3 separate regions of the Mus musculus genome follow, and regions 2 and 3 are each reported to be linked to region 1. The links are microRNA targets in miRTarBase. Many come from high-throughput screens and were not tested one by one. Region 1 holds a microRNA gene; each other region holds the end of a gene's coding sequence. Distances are between the middles of the regions.

The links. Region 1 holds the annotated microRNA mmu-miR-129-2-3p (AAGCCCUUACCCCAAAAAGCAU, at 1,699-1,720, shown strand). A microRNA usually pairs through its seed, bases 2 to 8, with sites in the 3' UTR of a target mRNA and lowers its output. Matches are read on the target gene's strand: a 7mer-m8 pairs with bases 2 to 8, a 7mer-A1 pairs with bases 2 to 7 and ends in A, and an 8mer does both.
Region 2: miRTarBase lists Polr3f as a target of mmu-miR-129-2-3p. Seed matches in the 3' UTR shown: 7mer-A1 at 2,176-2,182.
Region 3: miRTarBase lists Ncl as a target of mmu-miR-129-2-3p. Seed matches in the 3' UTR shown: 7mer-A1 at 2,556-2,562 and 7mer-m8 at 2,911-2,917.

The regions. Positions count from the first base shown.
Region 1 is chr2:94,238,024-94,243,095 of GRCm38, reverse strand. It overlaps Mir129-2 (microRNA 129-2), which reads left to right and starts at 1,643; the gene lies at 1,643-1,732. Mir670hg (a long non-coding RNA gene) reads left to right here. Exons shown (of 8, transcript XR_003953878.1): 4 at 4,709-4,823. Mir129b (microRNA 129b) reads right to left here and starts at 1,718; the gene lies at 1,654-1,718.
Region 2 is chr2:144,537,695-144,542,766 of GRCm38, reverse strand. It overlaps Polr3f (polymerase (RNA) III (DNA directed) polypeptide F), which reads right to left. Exons shown (of 9, transcript NM_029763.3): 9 at 988-4,155. The coding sequence ends at 4,078. Rbbp9 (retinoblastoma binding protein 9, serine hydrolase) reads left to right here. Exons shown (of 5, transcript NM_015754.2): 5 at 1-502. Among named protein-coding and RNA genes, the nearest start is that of Rbbp9, 11 kb to the left of the region's middle.
Region 3 is chr1:86,346,202-86,351,273 of GRCm38, reverse strand. It overlaps Ncl (nucleolin), which reads left to right. Exons shown (of 14, transcript NM_010880.3): 13 at 239-462; 14 at 578-5,072. The coding sequence ends at 654. It overlaps Snora75 (small nucleolar RNA, H/ACA box 75), which reads left to right; the gene lies at 1-104. Among named protein-coding and RNA genes, the nearest start is that of Snora75, 2.5 kb to the left of the region's middle.

The DNA.
Region 1 (5,072 bases):
AGAGCTGTAGGAGGGTGATGAATGGGCGGAGTGGGTGGGCCGACAGGAACTTGGGAGACTAAGGCTCCAGGTCCAGAAATGCATTCTGTGGGTATGATAAGCCAAGGGTGTGTGTGTGTGTGTGTGTGTGTGTGTGTGTACGCGCGCGCGCGTACCTGCCTGCAGGTCCATTCTGGGATGGCAAAAAAAAAAAAAAAAAAAAAAAAAAAAAGTGAAAAAGCCAAAACAAAACCCAACTTTTGCCCCCAAGTTCTTGTGATGCTTGTAGTAACCACCCTGACTTAAGTTTTTTTTTTTTTTCACCCCCTACTGGAAGGGAGATAGGCGTTTGTTTAATCACACCCTTTGGCATCCCTGGGGCTAGGCAAGAGGGCACTGGGACTTGGGTGGGCCTGCACATAAAGAAGAGGGCATCCCCCTTAAGTTAGGCTAGATGGAATGGGGGAGGGACTTAAAGGGCAGGGAGGAGGGGGGAGAGGAGAGACTTTGCCCCCTCCTTCCTCTCTAGCTCTCTATTCCCCTCCCTCCTGCAGATGCTGGAATCTCCTGTCACTGTGACAGTCAATGCCCAGCTCACCCTTTCTTGTTCCCTCAATATTTTGCAGAAGGGGGGGGCAACAAGGAAGGGCACCTGAGGCAAATGGGCCATTAGACACCATGATCTGGACAGGTTGGGGGCTCTGGGGGAGGGAGAAACTTCACCCTTCTTAGTGAACATTCAGAACTTTGGGGGGGCAGAGTGGGGTAGGGGGACTCGAAAAGGTCTAATTTTCTAGAAATAGGCCAACTAGAGTGGGATTTGAGCTTGTTTTATGTTCATCTTTGCCAGTCATTTTCCGTCTGGTTCTTCTGGCTTAGGTCCCGATGGAAGAGGTCGCTCTCTTGAATCCCTCTTTCCCAATATACACTGCCACCCCCTCACCTGGGCTAGAATGGGAGGGAGTCATGGACAGCTTTTGGAACAACAATATTTTAATGTGTTCTAGTCTAGGTTTTGTTGAATAATTAGAAATGGAAATATTTTTCTCCCTCCCCCTTCTGGAAAAAAAAAAAAAAAAGAAATGTGAGCTCTCTTCTGATTGGTGGGTGACGATTTTAGTCCACACCAATGAGCTGGCGGCCTTGTCTGTATTTATTTAGTGCTCTGGGGGAGTTTTTCTCTTTACGCAGCGCCTGTAGTCACGGCTGGAACCTCTGCTGGGGGACTAGGGAGGATAGGAGGGGATTCGGGGGAAATCTGGATCGTACCTGCTCAGAGATCCACGACCTTGCAGTCAGGGCTGTCAGAACCCTGATGGGGGAATTGGGTGATAGACTAGATAGGATCGGAGGCTTGGAGTGCTAGGGCGAGAGGGGTGGAGGCAGGGCTCTGGGATCCGGGGTCCCCCTTCGAGCTACCCTTATCGCTCTCCACTACCTCTTCGAGGTTGTGCAAGGCTGAGTCGGGGGATCTGGAGATAGAGAGAGGGATGGGTTTGGGGACGCGAGGAGGGGAGAGCGGCGCGCAGGGTGGGGAGGATGAGCCGCGGTGGAGCGCGCCGGGGAGATCCAGTCTCCTCGGCTTCGGGGTTCGGAGACATGCTGGGCTAAAGGCGGCGGCGACGGCGGCGGCGGTGGCGGCGGACCGAAGAAGCGGGTAGACTGCCTTTCGCGAATCTTTTTGCGGTCTGGGCTTGCTGTACATAACTCAATAGCCGGAAGCCCTTACCCCAAAAAGCATTCGCGGAGGGCGCGCTCGGCGACGTGACTGCAGCTACCAGCGACCGCCGAAGCCAGCACCTTCCCGAAGCGGCTCCATCCGAGACTTCCCCAGTTTTTCTCCCCGTTTTCCACGGAAGAATCAGCTCTTTCCTCCCCGTCCTTTCCGCGCTCCGCGAGGCTTTGATCACTCGCTTTCCCGAGACATGTCCCCCGCCCCCAACTTTTTAGTCGACTTTGTACCACAGGGGGAATTGGAGCGGGTGGCGTGCGTGTGTTTTCGAAGAAGTGAGAAGAAGCTAAAATGTAATAAAAGTTTACAGAAGTTGTGTCGTTCCCCCACACCCCACACCCCAAATATCCCCACTCACAATAAGGGGGGGGGGCATGGCCATAGGGCCAAGTCAGTACCTAGAATATGAATCAGTTTAGGAAATTTTACGGTCATTTTTTTTTTGACCCTAAGGATTGGAATCTAATATGGGGGAGGGGAAGCCCTTGAGGGAGGGGCGGTAGGCCCTAACCATCCTCGGTTAGGATGAGCGGAATCTAGAGGAGGTGAGATGAATCTCCGTGAATCCGGTAGCTCCGAAAAAGAGGGAAAAACACCCAGGCACCGCCCGCTCCCCGGAGCCTTCTTCCTGAACCTGCTTCCAACCTAATTTCAGGCGTGTTGCAGGCTCCAGTACCCACCCATCTCCTCTTTTTCAAAACTAAGTAGCGCAGGAGAGGATGAAACAGGCGGAAACTAGGGAAAACCCCGCGGGGAAGGAGCTTCTGCGAGCTGCAGTTGTTTAGCAGTGGCAGAGGCAGCAGCCCCATGCTGGCCACTCGAGGCTCCTAGACCTGGGAAGGGAGGCAAGCTGCAAAGGGGAGAGCCCGTGGGTCCCCCTCCTCCCCCTCCACTCCTTGCAGTCGTGACCACTTCGGTTACAAGTGGCACAAATCAGGCCTTCAACACGTTTTGTGCCCCGTGCCCTTCGCTAGCTAAGAACACTGCTAGACACCCTTGCCCTTAGGGACTGGGCCAGAAGGACACACAGACACACGCAAATGTCTATGGGGGTGAAAAGCAGTTAGAGGATGTATCTAGGGATGTGATAGCCCAACACCCCGGGGCTGCAAAGCTTCCCATTTTCGGGGAGGGCCTGAATTTCCCCCCGCATCCCAACCTTTCTGCTTTCAACAAACTCTCTGACTCATTTTGGGGGTCCCATAGTTAACCACCTAAGCTCTACTCTCTCTACCCCCTCCTGAAAGAAAAGAAAGGCTAGCAGATGCTGAGAATGCTGGACAGAGGCAGCCGGTGCTAGCTCAGTACGTAAGAAGGCACAGAATGCGAGAACTCCAGACTCCACAGCTAAATCAGGGTCCTTCTCCCCTGATAAAGGATATTTTTTTCCTCCGAATGTATTTTCTGAAAGAGTAAAAGGGTCTCAAAGATTTGAACATGCTATGGAGAGGGAGCAAAAGCTGTGGGGGGATTTTCTTCCTGCCTCTCACCTGGGGCCGTCTGTGGAGCGATAGCTCTGCAGAGGGAGAGGCAGAAAAGCCACGTTAGATTAAAAATAGCTTCGCACTGTGTCCCTTCACCTACTCTTCTGTCTTTTTCTTACTGTATCCCACCTCCTTTCCCTAGTCAGGAAGCCCTTCCCTCTCCAAAAGCCCGACCATTCACCAGATTTGAGATCGAGGTGACCTTAGAGACGATAACTCGAATAACCTGAACACAGGCTCCTTGGGGTTCCTGAGCCCCCAGAGCCCTCATCTCTCCCACCCAGACTAGACTTGGGACCGGAGTTCCAGGGCCCTAAAGCACCCTGCCGAAGGCGTCGTGCAGCTTGCGAGTCCTCACCTCGCCTCAGCCAGACAACTGTTGCTGTCTCAAAGCTGCCGCTGCTGCCGCTGCTGATGCTGCTGTTGCTGCCAGGCAGCTTCAGCCTAGAGCGGAGGCTGCTCACTTTGGGTCCTACTGGGGGGGGGGGGGGTCTGTGAAGAAGGGTCTCTCATTCTGAGGAGGGCAGGTGAAAAGATTAGTCTCCTTTTCTCCTCAAAAAGGGAAAAGCTGTGGCTTCTTGTGCATTTTTCTTCTCCTGTGTGGGGTGACAGCATCAGCTCAGGGACAGTGGAAGTCTGTTTTTGCCTCTGAAACCAGGGTGCCATTGTTGAGGGAGGAAGCCAAGGGTGGAGGGGTAATCACTTTAGTTATTAAACTTCTAATGCATAACCCCTTACCCAGTGAATCAGGTGCTTGATGGAAACTTCTAGACACTTGCATCTGATGCCAAGCCTGAAGGGCCTGTGTAAGCTGGCAGCCTCTAACCCGGTCTGTTTTTCAGAGGGAGCGAGGCGGGATGTCATGTGTGACATAGTTAGAAAGCTGCAGTGAAGACCTAGTCTCCCAAGCCAAATACTGAATGTAGCTCTTGCCTGTCTTAAAAATCAAGACCAGCCATTGTCTGGGAGGGGGACAGTAAGATGGCGCACAGGAACCACAGAACTCCCTTTAGGTCCCCTGTGTTCAATGAGCAGAGACAGGGACCCAAGCAGGGCTTAGCTGTCCCATTTGGGGCCCACTTTACCTGCTGTGATCTTCACTGTTCATCTTCTCACCCCACCCTATCTATTTCAAAAGTATACACCACACACCTTGTACTGTTCCCTTTGCTCTTCTTCTGAGGATGCGTGTTTACTCTAAGTTTGTCTGATTTGCCTGTCTCGGGCTAGAGGCAAAGACAGGGCCTGGTTTCAAGTAAACTTCCTGAAGTGTCATATTATCTCCGGCCTTCTCAATGACAAGACACTTGTGGTTGTCTCTGAAAAGGTCTCCTCATGCAGCAGTACCACCCCGTGCCTTGGCAGCTCTTGACCCTGATGCACTGCTCTGCCCCTTCCCTTTCTAGCAGCCTCTGTTGCCTTGAGCCTTGACTGCCTGCAATCACCCCAGTGAGCAATCTCACACCTTCTTCCTGGGCAACTGAGTCATCTTGCCCGTCTGGTTATCTTTTAGGTGGTCAAGCCCGTCCTGATACTGAATGGTACAGTGAGGAGTGGCCACCCAAGGGAGGCAGTCTCGGAGGTCACAGGAGCTGATAAGCCTGGATGAAAGATCACAGGAGTTCCAGGTGAGCAGAGATGCTAGCCAGTGCATGCTCTTGACTGGGAAGCCTCAAGGCTTCCCATGCTTCTTACATGGTGAGGAGAAAGCAGCAACTGGGGGGTGGGGGTGGGGGCAGCATTTGGAAACAGTCCTTAAAGAAACAGATCTATCAAGAGATGTTAAATGCAAATAAAGTACCAAGGAGGCAAACCTACTGTGGACTTATGCCAGAGGCAAGATTTGGGTATGTTTGGAAGTTCCCACAATCCCCAGT
Region 2 (5,072 bases), 50 Mb from region 1:
AAGACCAGGTCATCCATTTGTGAGTTGGAGGTAAACATTTTTAGATTCTCTATGAATCCAAGAAAAGCCTAAGACAACCAAAATGAACATAATAGTAAAGGTGGAAGACAAGGGAGCAACCTGTACTGTGTTATTAAGTTCTAAGTGTCCTCAAAAGAACCTTTTTCTAGAAGACCAGATTTCAATTCCCAGAAACGACATGGTGGCTCTGTAATGGGATCTGACGCCCTCTTCTGCTAAGTCTGAAGACACCGTGTACTCACATACATAAAATAAACTATGCCAGGTTAATTCTATAGAGTTCAGCCTCTTGTAGAGAGTATTCAAGCAACACTGCCGAGTCTTCTCATATTCACTCACATAAACAACCCCTTTTTAATACTACTTTTTATATTGTATATATTCAATGTATAAAATGGTTTGATGATTCCATTTCCACTGGTTTATAAAGTACTTTGACCAAATGTAAAAAGATATAATAAAAAATGTTTATTTCCTAGTATCTTCTGACTGCTGTGGTGCCAAAGATCTCTAGTGTACTTAAACTTGATGACTCAGAACCCGTGACAGATGCAGAAATGTGATCCCCCACACTTTTATCCTAGAAGGGGTACAAAGCTGTTGTGTTAGCCTAAAATGATTTGGGGATTTCTAAAGTCAGGGATGACTTTAACTTTTAACATAAGTATATTTGGAGGATAGGACGACAAACATATATATAGGTGTACTCTAAGTGTTCACATGGGAATGAATAATACCAGAAACAGAAAGTTATATATATCAAATGAATATATTTTATCCTGCAGAAAACAAATAGCAAACATTTGTATGTTAATTTAAGAATTCAAAAGAGCAGAGTAAATAATTACTAATTTCAAATTCAAGTAGACTCAAATTGGATTGTAGGCTTGACTGAATCACCGCTAAAAAGCCTGTTACATACACATACACACACACACACAATGAAAACACTTATTTTTTTTTCCTAACGTTAAAAATCTTAATTATAAACTAACACATTTCAGTGTGAGTTTCAATAATTCCCAGGGGGAGAGTATGCAAGAGAGCTCTCTGTTGAGCTGTGCCGTCTAATATAAACAGTATGCACAGGCAACTAAATAAAAACTTAGCTCTTAATCATTTGTGTCAAGTGCTGGCCAGCCATCTGGCTGAAGGTTACTGGACTAAACACCAAATAAAGACTATTTCCATCATGATAGAAAATGCTATTTGTCCAGATGTGGCACATACCTATAAACCCTGCAGGAGCAACATAGAGGCAGGATTCTGTTCAAGATGCTGTCTTACTGGATCATACTGCTAGAGGGCGCATATTTTGTATTCATCTCTCACCTACCAGATAGTAAATCTGAAACTACTTTTCCCCCCTTAACTGTTGGGTTGATGGTTGGGCCAGAGGCCTCATCGTACGAGGAGTATTCGATCACTGTCCATCACAGAATTGATATGACTACTTTGCTTAATTACCACCAAAACCCTTATTTAAAACTTATTTATTGCCAAATTCAAAGTTTAATGTGAGAATCCACATTAAGAACCACTAAATCACCTCATGTCTCCCTTCTTTATGGATCACTTTTAAACGGGGTCCTCAACAGATTAGTAGTATGTGTGCTCAGGTGAACAAAAGGCCTAGTACTAAGTGGGAGAGTATGAAGAATCTGGGCTTCATCTGCAATTTGATTTTGTGACATTATGATTTTAGAGGCCCACAATTTCTTTTGATAGCTTATTCCCACTTTATTTACAGAACAGTTGCTACATTTTCAGACTTCTCTATCCTTCTCAGTTAATACAGTAAAAAAATACATTACAAGGCAAAAATACTCAGAGTAAAAAATAATGCTGAGGAAAAATATCTAAGCTCTCTTTATTCTGGTGAGGCAAGGAACATTTCTAACCACTGAGTGCTGATTTAAAAACTCATCTAATTATCAAGACAATGCAAAGCCAGGCCCGGCTGCTAAATGCGTGCCTGGAATCCCAGCACTTGGAAAGCTAAAGCAGAATAACTGAGTTCAATGCCAGCCTGGGCCATCAAGTTTATTCCAGGCCAGTGTGGAGTGATGCTCTTATCTCTAACAACAAAACAGAATGCGGAGCAGATTTCCAAAACAACTTTTTTCTTTTTTTTCGAGACAGGGTTTTTCTGTGTAGCCCTGGCTGTCCTGGAACTCACTCTGTAGACCAGGCTGGCTAGAAGATAACTTCTCTCTTTTATTGTTATTTGGTTCCTCAAGATAGGGTTTCTTTATGTAGCTCTGGCTGTCCTAGATCTGCCTGCCTCTGCCTCCTGGGTACTGGGATTAAAGGCTTTCCACTATACTCAGCTTACTTCGTGTCTAAGGTTGTTTGATCGTACTAAGTTTTTTATATAAGCCAAAAGCATGGACCAACTTAAAGGGTTTGCACTGGGATCCTCTGTGGAGCTGAGTTCTACCACCTTCTGACAGTGCTCTAAGTGAATAGCATCATTAGTTACCTGAGTAAAATCAAACTCACTAGTTCACTTTTATCAGATGAAGTCTATGGCCAGCTCTATAAGAGTAAGCATTCAATGACACCAGCTATTTTAAGTGTTAGATTATATATAAAACACAGGGTTTTTTTTCCCTCCACCTCTTGTGAGGTGCGGCATGGTAACAATGTCCGATCTGCCTGACCTATCAAATAAGCACTAGTCTTACCTTACTAGAAAATTAAATATGTAAGAGAGATAAAAATGGAAAAAAGAGCCAGGTGCGGGTATCGCATCTTTAATCATAGTCCTTGGGCAGTAGAGGCAGGCAGATCCCTGAGTTTGGTCTACAGAGTTCTAGGACAGTCAGAGCTACATAGAGAAACCCTGTCTCAAAACAAAAAGGGGAGGGGAGTGCTGGTGAGGTGGCTCAGGGATTAAGAGCACTGACTGCTCTTCTGAAGGTCCCAAGTTCAAATCCCAGCAACCACATGGTGGCTTGCAACCATCTGTAATGAAATCAGACGCCCTCTTCTGGAGTGTCTGAAGACAACTACAGTGTACTTACAGATAAATAAATCTTTAGAAAGAGACAATCCACGAGCTGAGATCCTTCAGAGGCTACCTTCTGTACAACAGCACGCCAATTAATGTTTTCCAGGGCCGAACAGCCAGGACTGAGAAAGTACACAGTGATGGCTTTCTGCTCAGACATGTCATACCAGTGTTTTGAAGAATAAGAGAAAAGGGCACCAGCTAAATACTGGTTACCAACCCTCAGAGACTGAATGAAGGGCAATGTTCTATTTTTATTTGTATGTGTGAGACTGGGTCTCTCCCTATATAGCTCTGGCTGTCCTGGAATTTAGACTGTAAAATTTGAATTTGGCACTAGTGGTAGAGAGAGTCACACTACAGGCATGGAATGAGAATCTGGAAAAAAACCCAGGAAATAATACAATTAAGGCATACAGAGAAAAGTGATAGCCTTAACAAAAAAGGAACAGTGAGACTATTTCTTTTAGCATGGAATAACAGTGATGTGGAAACACGTCCTGTACAACAGCATTTGGGAGTGAGGTCGGTATGGAGGCACACTCCCCTGAAAGAGTCCTGGGGTGAAGAGCAACAGATGGCATGAAAAAGGAATGCCCACTTGACTACCCAGGCCCCAAGATGGCACACATGCCATCAGCTGTTCCTGTCTGCACCACTTGTAATTTCTTCTCAACAAAACCCAAAAACAACCAAACAAATGGTGGTAATAACCCCGATGAGTTTTCAATGAAGCAACTCTAGTGAACATCTTCTCGTTCCAGCCTTTATCTCAGTACTTGGTCAACATAGGCTTGCTGGCTTCTTTTCCTTGCCTTCCAGACCTTCAAGGTATTTTACTTACTGAAGAAGAGACTTCCCAATTAAACTTTATTAAACTCAATCTGCTTTGTGTTCTGTCTTCATAAATAAATGTTTTCATAGCAGCAAGTCAGTATCCATTATTGTGAAGTATGCTTTCAAAGAAATTTACACTCCATCATGAATTGTTTGTTCTCCATGGAGTTCAGTTTGCCAAATGTAGATAAAGTGCACAGCTCTCATTAAAATTCAAGCCACTCTGTCATGTAAATACAATTAGACGGCGAAATCTCACCACCTTCATGGCAGTCCTCAAAAACCTTTAAAAAATAAAAATAAAAAGTCTATTCAAATTCAAGTTTTAAAATATCAGATCCCCACTGATTTAAAGCAATAGTAAATGAAGAAAAAAAAGAAAGAAAATATTCTTTGAAACAGATAAGGACTGAAGAGCATACTGTAACAGTGCCTACTTTGTGGTCATGGTTAACTATAAGCTTTTATATTTTGGTTTGCTTGGTTCTCTTGGTTTTTGCTTTTTAAGACAGGGTCTCACTATGTAATCCTGGCTGTCATGGAATTCACTATGTAGAAAAGGCAGGCTTCAAACTCAGAGATCCAACTGCCTCTGCCTCCCAAATGCTGGGACTAAGGTATACACCTCCCTGCCTGGCTTGGAGGCATATTAACACAGCATGAAGACGAGCCCATTCTCCTGCCCTTTTACCTGGGTAAAAGGCTATTAGCAGGTGCTTAGGAATGAAGGAAGTGAGTACTACACTGATGGACAACAATTTAATTTCTACTAAGTTGAAGATATTCTGTGTTTAAGGATCTTCATAGGGTGCTAAGTAGAATTACCAGGATGTTGGCTTCTGTCTAGGAGTTGAAACTGGGTCACAAAGAGCTCAGGGGTACAGACAAAGGTTATCATAACGAATATGGCAGAGTAGCAGCCCACGAGTATAAATGCCATAAGATAGGAAGTGCCTTTTGCTCCCTATAGCTTCAGGAATGAATGAGCAAGAGTGCTAAGGAATACTGGGAAAAGCATTATGTTTATTCTAAGTGATATTTTCTGCTTAATTTAACTTTCTTCTTTTTCCTGGGGAGCAGGGGGGCACTAGGGGATCGGATCTGGAGAAGAGAGGGCCTGGGTACACTAAGCAAGTGCTCTGCCACTGAGCTACACCCACCCTGAAGTTCCCTCGCTCTTTAGGGAAGAAATAACATCACT
Region 3 (5,072 bases), not on the chromosome of region 1:
TCAGTGATAGATTATGGATTCGCACGAGAAGAAGAGAGAATTCACAGAACTGGCACTTATCTTCTGTTTTTGCAGAAGTATATTTGGCTGTTGTGTGAGACATTATGAGATACTGGCGATTTTCTCGACCTGAAGAGTACTTTGGTCACTCTACTTGGGTGACTTGGTACTTATTGTGTTACTTTAAAATGTGTTTACTTAATGGGTGAGGTTTTTTTGTTTTTCTTTTCTGTTTTAGGTTTGGTTTTGTAGACTTTAATAGTGAGGAAGATGCCAAAGCTGCCAAGGAGGCCATGGAAGATGGAGAAATTGACGGAAACAAAGTTACCTTGGACTGGGCCAAACCTAAGGGTGAAGGTGGCTTTGGTGGTCGAGGTGGAGGCAGAGGAGGTTTCGGAGGCAGAGGTGGAGGCAGAGGTGGAAGAGGTGGATTTGGAGGAAGAGGCCGGGGAGGCTTTGGAGGTAAGGAAGGGAAAGGAACTGGAAACGGATTCCTAAACCTGTGTCCTAACCAACCACCTTAAATGGGAAGGTCAGTCCTAATTGTATCACCCTTTGATGTTTTTCCTTCCTATAGGTAGAGGAGGCTTCCGAGGCGGCAGAGGAGGAGGGGGAGACTTCAAGCCACAAGGAAAGAAGACGAAGTTTGAATAGTTCCTTCCATCCCATTCTTTCCCTCTTCATTTTAAAGAAAGGACTCTGGGGTTTTTACTCTGTTACCTGTTCAATGACAGAGCCTTCTAAGGACATTCCAAGACAGTAAAGATCCTAAACTCTGTTGCCAGACTTAATACTTCCTAGAGGTTACATTTGGATTGTTGCTTAAGAGCTTGGCAAGACCAACTCTGCCCAGTGGGAATTTCAGTTGTGTTCCTACTGCTTTCAAGAATTCCCAGCTACAAATGTGGAAATTGGTGGGGAACAGCTTCATCATGATTCTGATCTGGAAGATTTAATTTGTATCTTAGAAGGGTGTGTACTGGAAAAGTGGTTGATAGAGCACATGGATCAGTGCTGGAAATACCATACAAGAGCTTGTGTGGTATGTAATTCTATTCCCAGCATAATAAGAACAAACAGTACAGTGCAATCTGAAATGACCTGGACAAGGAATGGTACCCCATTGGGTTGAAAAATTCACATAGCCAGGATGGTTGCACATGCCTTTAACCCCAGCACTTGGGAGGGAGAGGCTGGTAGATCTGAGTTTGATCTGGTGTACAGAGAGTTCCAGAACAGCCAGGGCTGTTTATTAGAGAAAAAACCCTGTCTTGAAAAAACAAGAAAAAAAAACCTCACAGACAACCAAATACAGAGTTTTAGCCACTGAGTACCAAGTCTCAGCAGCAAGCTGGGAGTGACGTAATCCAATCCCATGGGAGGCTAAAGCAGTCTATGACTTCAATGCCAGTTGGGTCTGCAGAACTGAGTTGCTGGATAGTGAGGGATACTTAGAAACTTTGTCTTGAAAAAAAAAACAAGACCTGTCAAATTTGAGAGAAGCTTTGGGAAACAAGGTTTGTAAGTTCCAACAGAGGGAACAGTGGCCTTTTTGACTTAAAGGTTGTCAGAGGTCCAGTTTAACTAGGGATAATACAGTGGCCCTTGGCCTGTGTACTTAATGAATTTTTCAGTGATCTATCAAGGATGTTTGGTTTTTTTGTTTTTTGTTTGTTTTGTATAAGGCATGGGTGCCTAGATAACCTTAATAGAAACTTTCCTGTAGGTGTTTTTCCAAGTCCCACTCCCAACAAACTGATTTTCAAGAAAGACCAGTCAGCTATTCTCAACCAAAGACCCTCTGTAGGGTTGCGCTTAGCACCTGTCTGGTGGCTTGAGTATGTGGTATGACCATTGCAGTCGCAGTCCTGTCTAAAAGTGAGGATGGCGTGGGCATTAGATTTGTGTAGCAGGGAACAGTTTGGTGGGTTCTTTTGCTGTGGGGAGTGGAGCCCTTGATTATGTTAACCTCCTTGTTAAAGATTAATGGCATGTAGCTGAAGGCACTCAGCTGTCATTAATCCTAGAAGGCAGACCAATTTGAGGCTAAGGAATTCCAGAATAGCCAGTGCTACACAGAAGACCCCCAAGACTACAATAGCAAAGGAAAGGTTCAACTCTGGTGCTAGCAGACATCATTTTTTTGTGGATTGAGGACATAGTTAACCTATAGGATCATCAGAAGATTTACAGTTGAATAGCTCTCCCTAAACGAGGCAGACATTTTAGAAAAGCAGCAAACCTTTCTGGAAATGGTTGTTTGCTTTCTTTTCTCATTCTTCCAGCAGGTGGCAACATGAGAACTGAAGAAAGGGTGGAGGGAAGGCAGTTAATCTGCCTTCACCTAATAGATAAACACAAAGCTCTTATTCTGGTGGTAGAGTAGCTTGTAGAGGTCTTTTAAAGAGCAACAAAGCTTTCTCATTTGAAAGATTCACTTCAGCTGGGCGTGGTGGCGCACGCCTTTAGTCCCAGCACTTGGGAGGCAGAGGCAAGTGATTTTCTGAGTGAGTTCGAGGCCAGCCTAGGTCTACAGAGTGAGTTCTAGGACAGCCAGGGCTACACAGAGAAACCCTGCCTCAAAAAACAAAAAGATTCACTCCTGACCATTTATCACCTGCTTTTGACTATACACTACCCCTTCAGTGTGGCTTTTTTCCTACGGATGCTAGTGATAGGAGTTACCTAATGTAGTTTTCAGTTCAATCTGCCTGAACCTTTTCAACTCTTAAGGAACATAGGCAGATGCTAAGGGTGTAGGTCTTGACCCTATACTGAGGTAGAAAGGAAGGGGAAATGGAAGAGGAGCATGTACTCTTTACTTCTAAGCTGGATCTATAGCCTTAGGATTACCATCTATAACAGGCTAATTTCATTCAGTTAGTGGTAAAACCCTTTGCCATAGAATAAAAGGGCTCTCAAGGTTCTAGTAGTAAAACAAGTTTTGGTTGCTGTCCTCCATTAAGTGCCTACTAAATGATAAGTGATGGAGAGGATGGAACTGATTCCAAGAAATACTCAACAGTGAGGACTTATAGGCCACTTAACCTGTGTGTGCTTGTGGGATATTTCTACCTTTTGAAGCAGGGTCTCTTATTTTCTTACTCACTACAAGCTTTCAAGTACTTCTGGCAATACGAATGGGATTAGCAATGCATGCCATTTCAGTGGCCTTATCTGGGTTTCAGGGGTCCTGGTCATCAGGTTCTCGCTGGTAAATCTTAAAGACCACCGTCTTTTTTTTTTTTTTTTTTTTGAGACAGGGTCTTTAGCTCTGTGGCCATCATGGAACTCAATAGGTAGACTAGGCTGACCTCAAGATGTCTGCCTCTTGAGTGTTGCATTAAAGGCCTGTGCCACCATGTCAGGCTCCATTATAGAAACACACTACTATCAGAAGGATGATAGGCTGAGGCCCATTTTTTAACCCTTTGAAAAAAATTCTGGCTGGGCAGTGGTGACACTGCCTTTAATCCCAGCACTTGGGAGACAGGCAGGTGGATTTCTGAGTTCAAGGCCAGCTGGGTCTATAGAGTAAGTTCCAGGACAGCCAGAGCTATACAGAGAAACAAAAAAAAAACAAGGGTTTATTGGGGAGGGAAGGGAAGTACTTATTTTGAATAAGGTTTTATTGTGTATCCCTGATTGTCTTTGAAATTAATTTGCTTCAACTCGAAGTGCTGAGACTGCAAGTATGTACAACCACAGTACTCTTAGGTTCTAACTGAATTCTCACCCATTATTTTTCAAATACGGCCTTTCAGTTTTATTCTCTACTGGACTCTTAGATAACCAGATACTGGCATTGAAACTAGTTTTTTTCTCTTTGAATATTAATTTGGATACATTCTATTGTTTTGGATTCTAGTTCACTGATTCTTCTGTTAGGCCCTTTAGTGAAGCTTTCAGGTGTCTTTAGTTTTTTTTTAATTTGTGTGTGTGGGTATAGTGTCTGTATTTCTCCATGTGCATGCAATGCCACAGGAGGCCAGAAGAGGGTGGATCTTCCAACCTTTTTTTTTTTTTTAAAGATTTTTATTTTATGTATATGAGTACACTGTAGCTGTCTTCAGACACACCAGAAGAGGGCATAGAATCCCATTACAGATTATTGAGAGCCACCATGTGATTACTGGGGATTGAACTCATGACCTCTGAAAGAGCAGTCAGTGCTCTGAACTACTGAGCCATCTCACCAGCCGCCTTCAAGTTCTTGTGAACCACCATGTGGGTACTGTGAATCAAACTTGTGTTTTCTGGACTCTTAACAGCTGAGTCATCTCTCTAGCCCTTCAAGTGTTTCCTTTCTCTTCTAGGTTTCCAGTTTATGAAGCCCCCATTTTGTCATTTAAATTCTTTTCCTGCAAATTCCTATACATCTACAATCATTGAAGTCATTTGTAAATTTTTTTATGTGCATTAGTATTTGGTCTTTATGTGTGTGAGGAGTCAGACCCACCATGTTACAAACAGTTGTGAGCTGCTATGTGGGTGCTGGGAATTGAACTTGGGTCCCCTGGAAGAGTGACCAGTGCCCTTAAGTCGCCCCTTATTTGTAGTTTTAACAGGAGTTATGGTTGAGTACTTGTTAGGATTATGAAGAGTTGTTTCTCTTTCATTGCATGTCTAAACTGGACATTGACCCATATTTAGAGGCCAGCCATGTGCTAATTCAAGTACATTTTGTACTGGCATTCTTAAGTAGCTAGCAAAATCTGAGTTTCTGTTTTTCATAGAATATGATGAGATTTACTTTAAAGCCAGGTAATGTGTTTATCCTGAGAATACCAGCTGTGTATTTTCTTGAGCCAACCAAATTGAAAGTGAGGAGTTTCAGTGATTAAACACTGGCTGTTTACATGCAGAGAACCCCAGTTCACTTCCCAGCATCCAGATGCTGCTTGACTGTAACTAGTTCCAGGGACCCAAGGTCCTTTTCTGCTTTTTGGGCACTTTCTTGGGTGCTAGCAAAACACCCATATACATAAAAATGAATAGGAAAATGAAAAATTTAGGAAAAGTTGGAAGCGATTTTATGTCAAATTTACTGTTCCTGTTCATGGTCCCCCCCA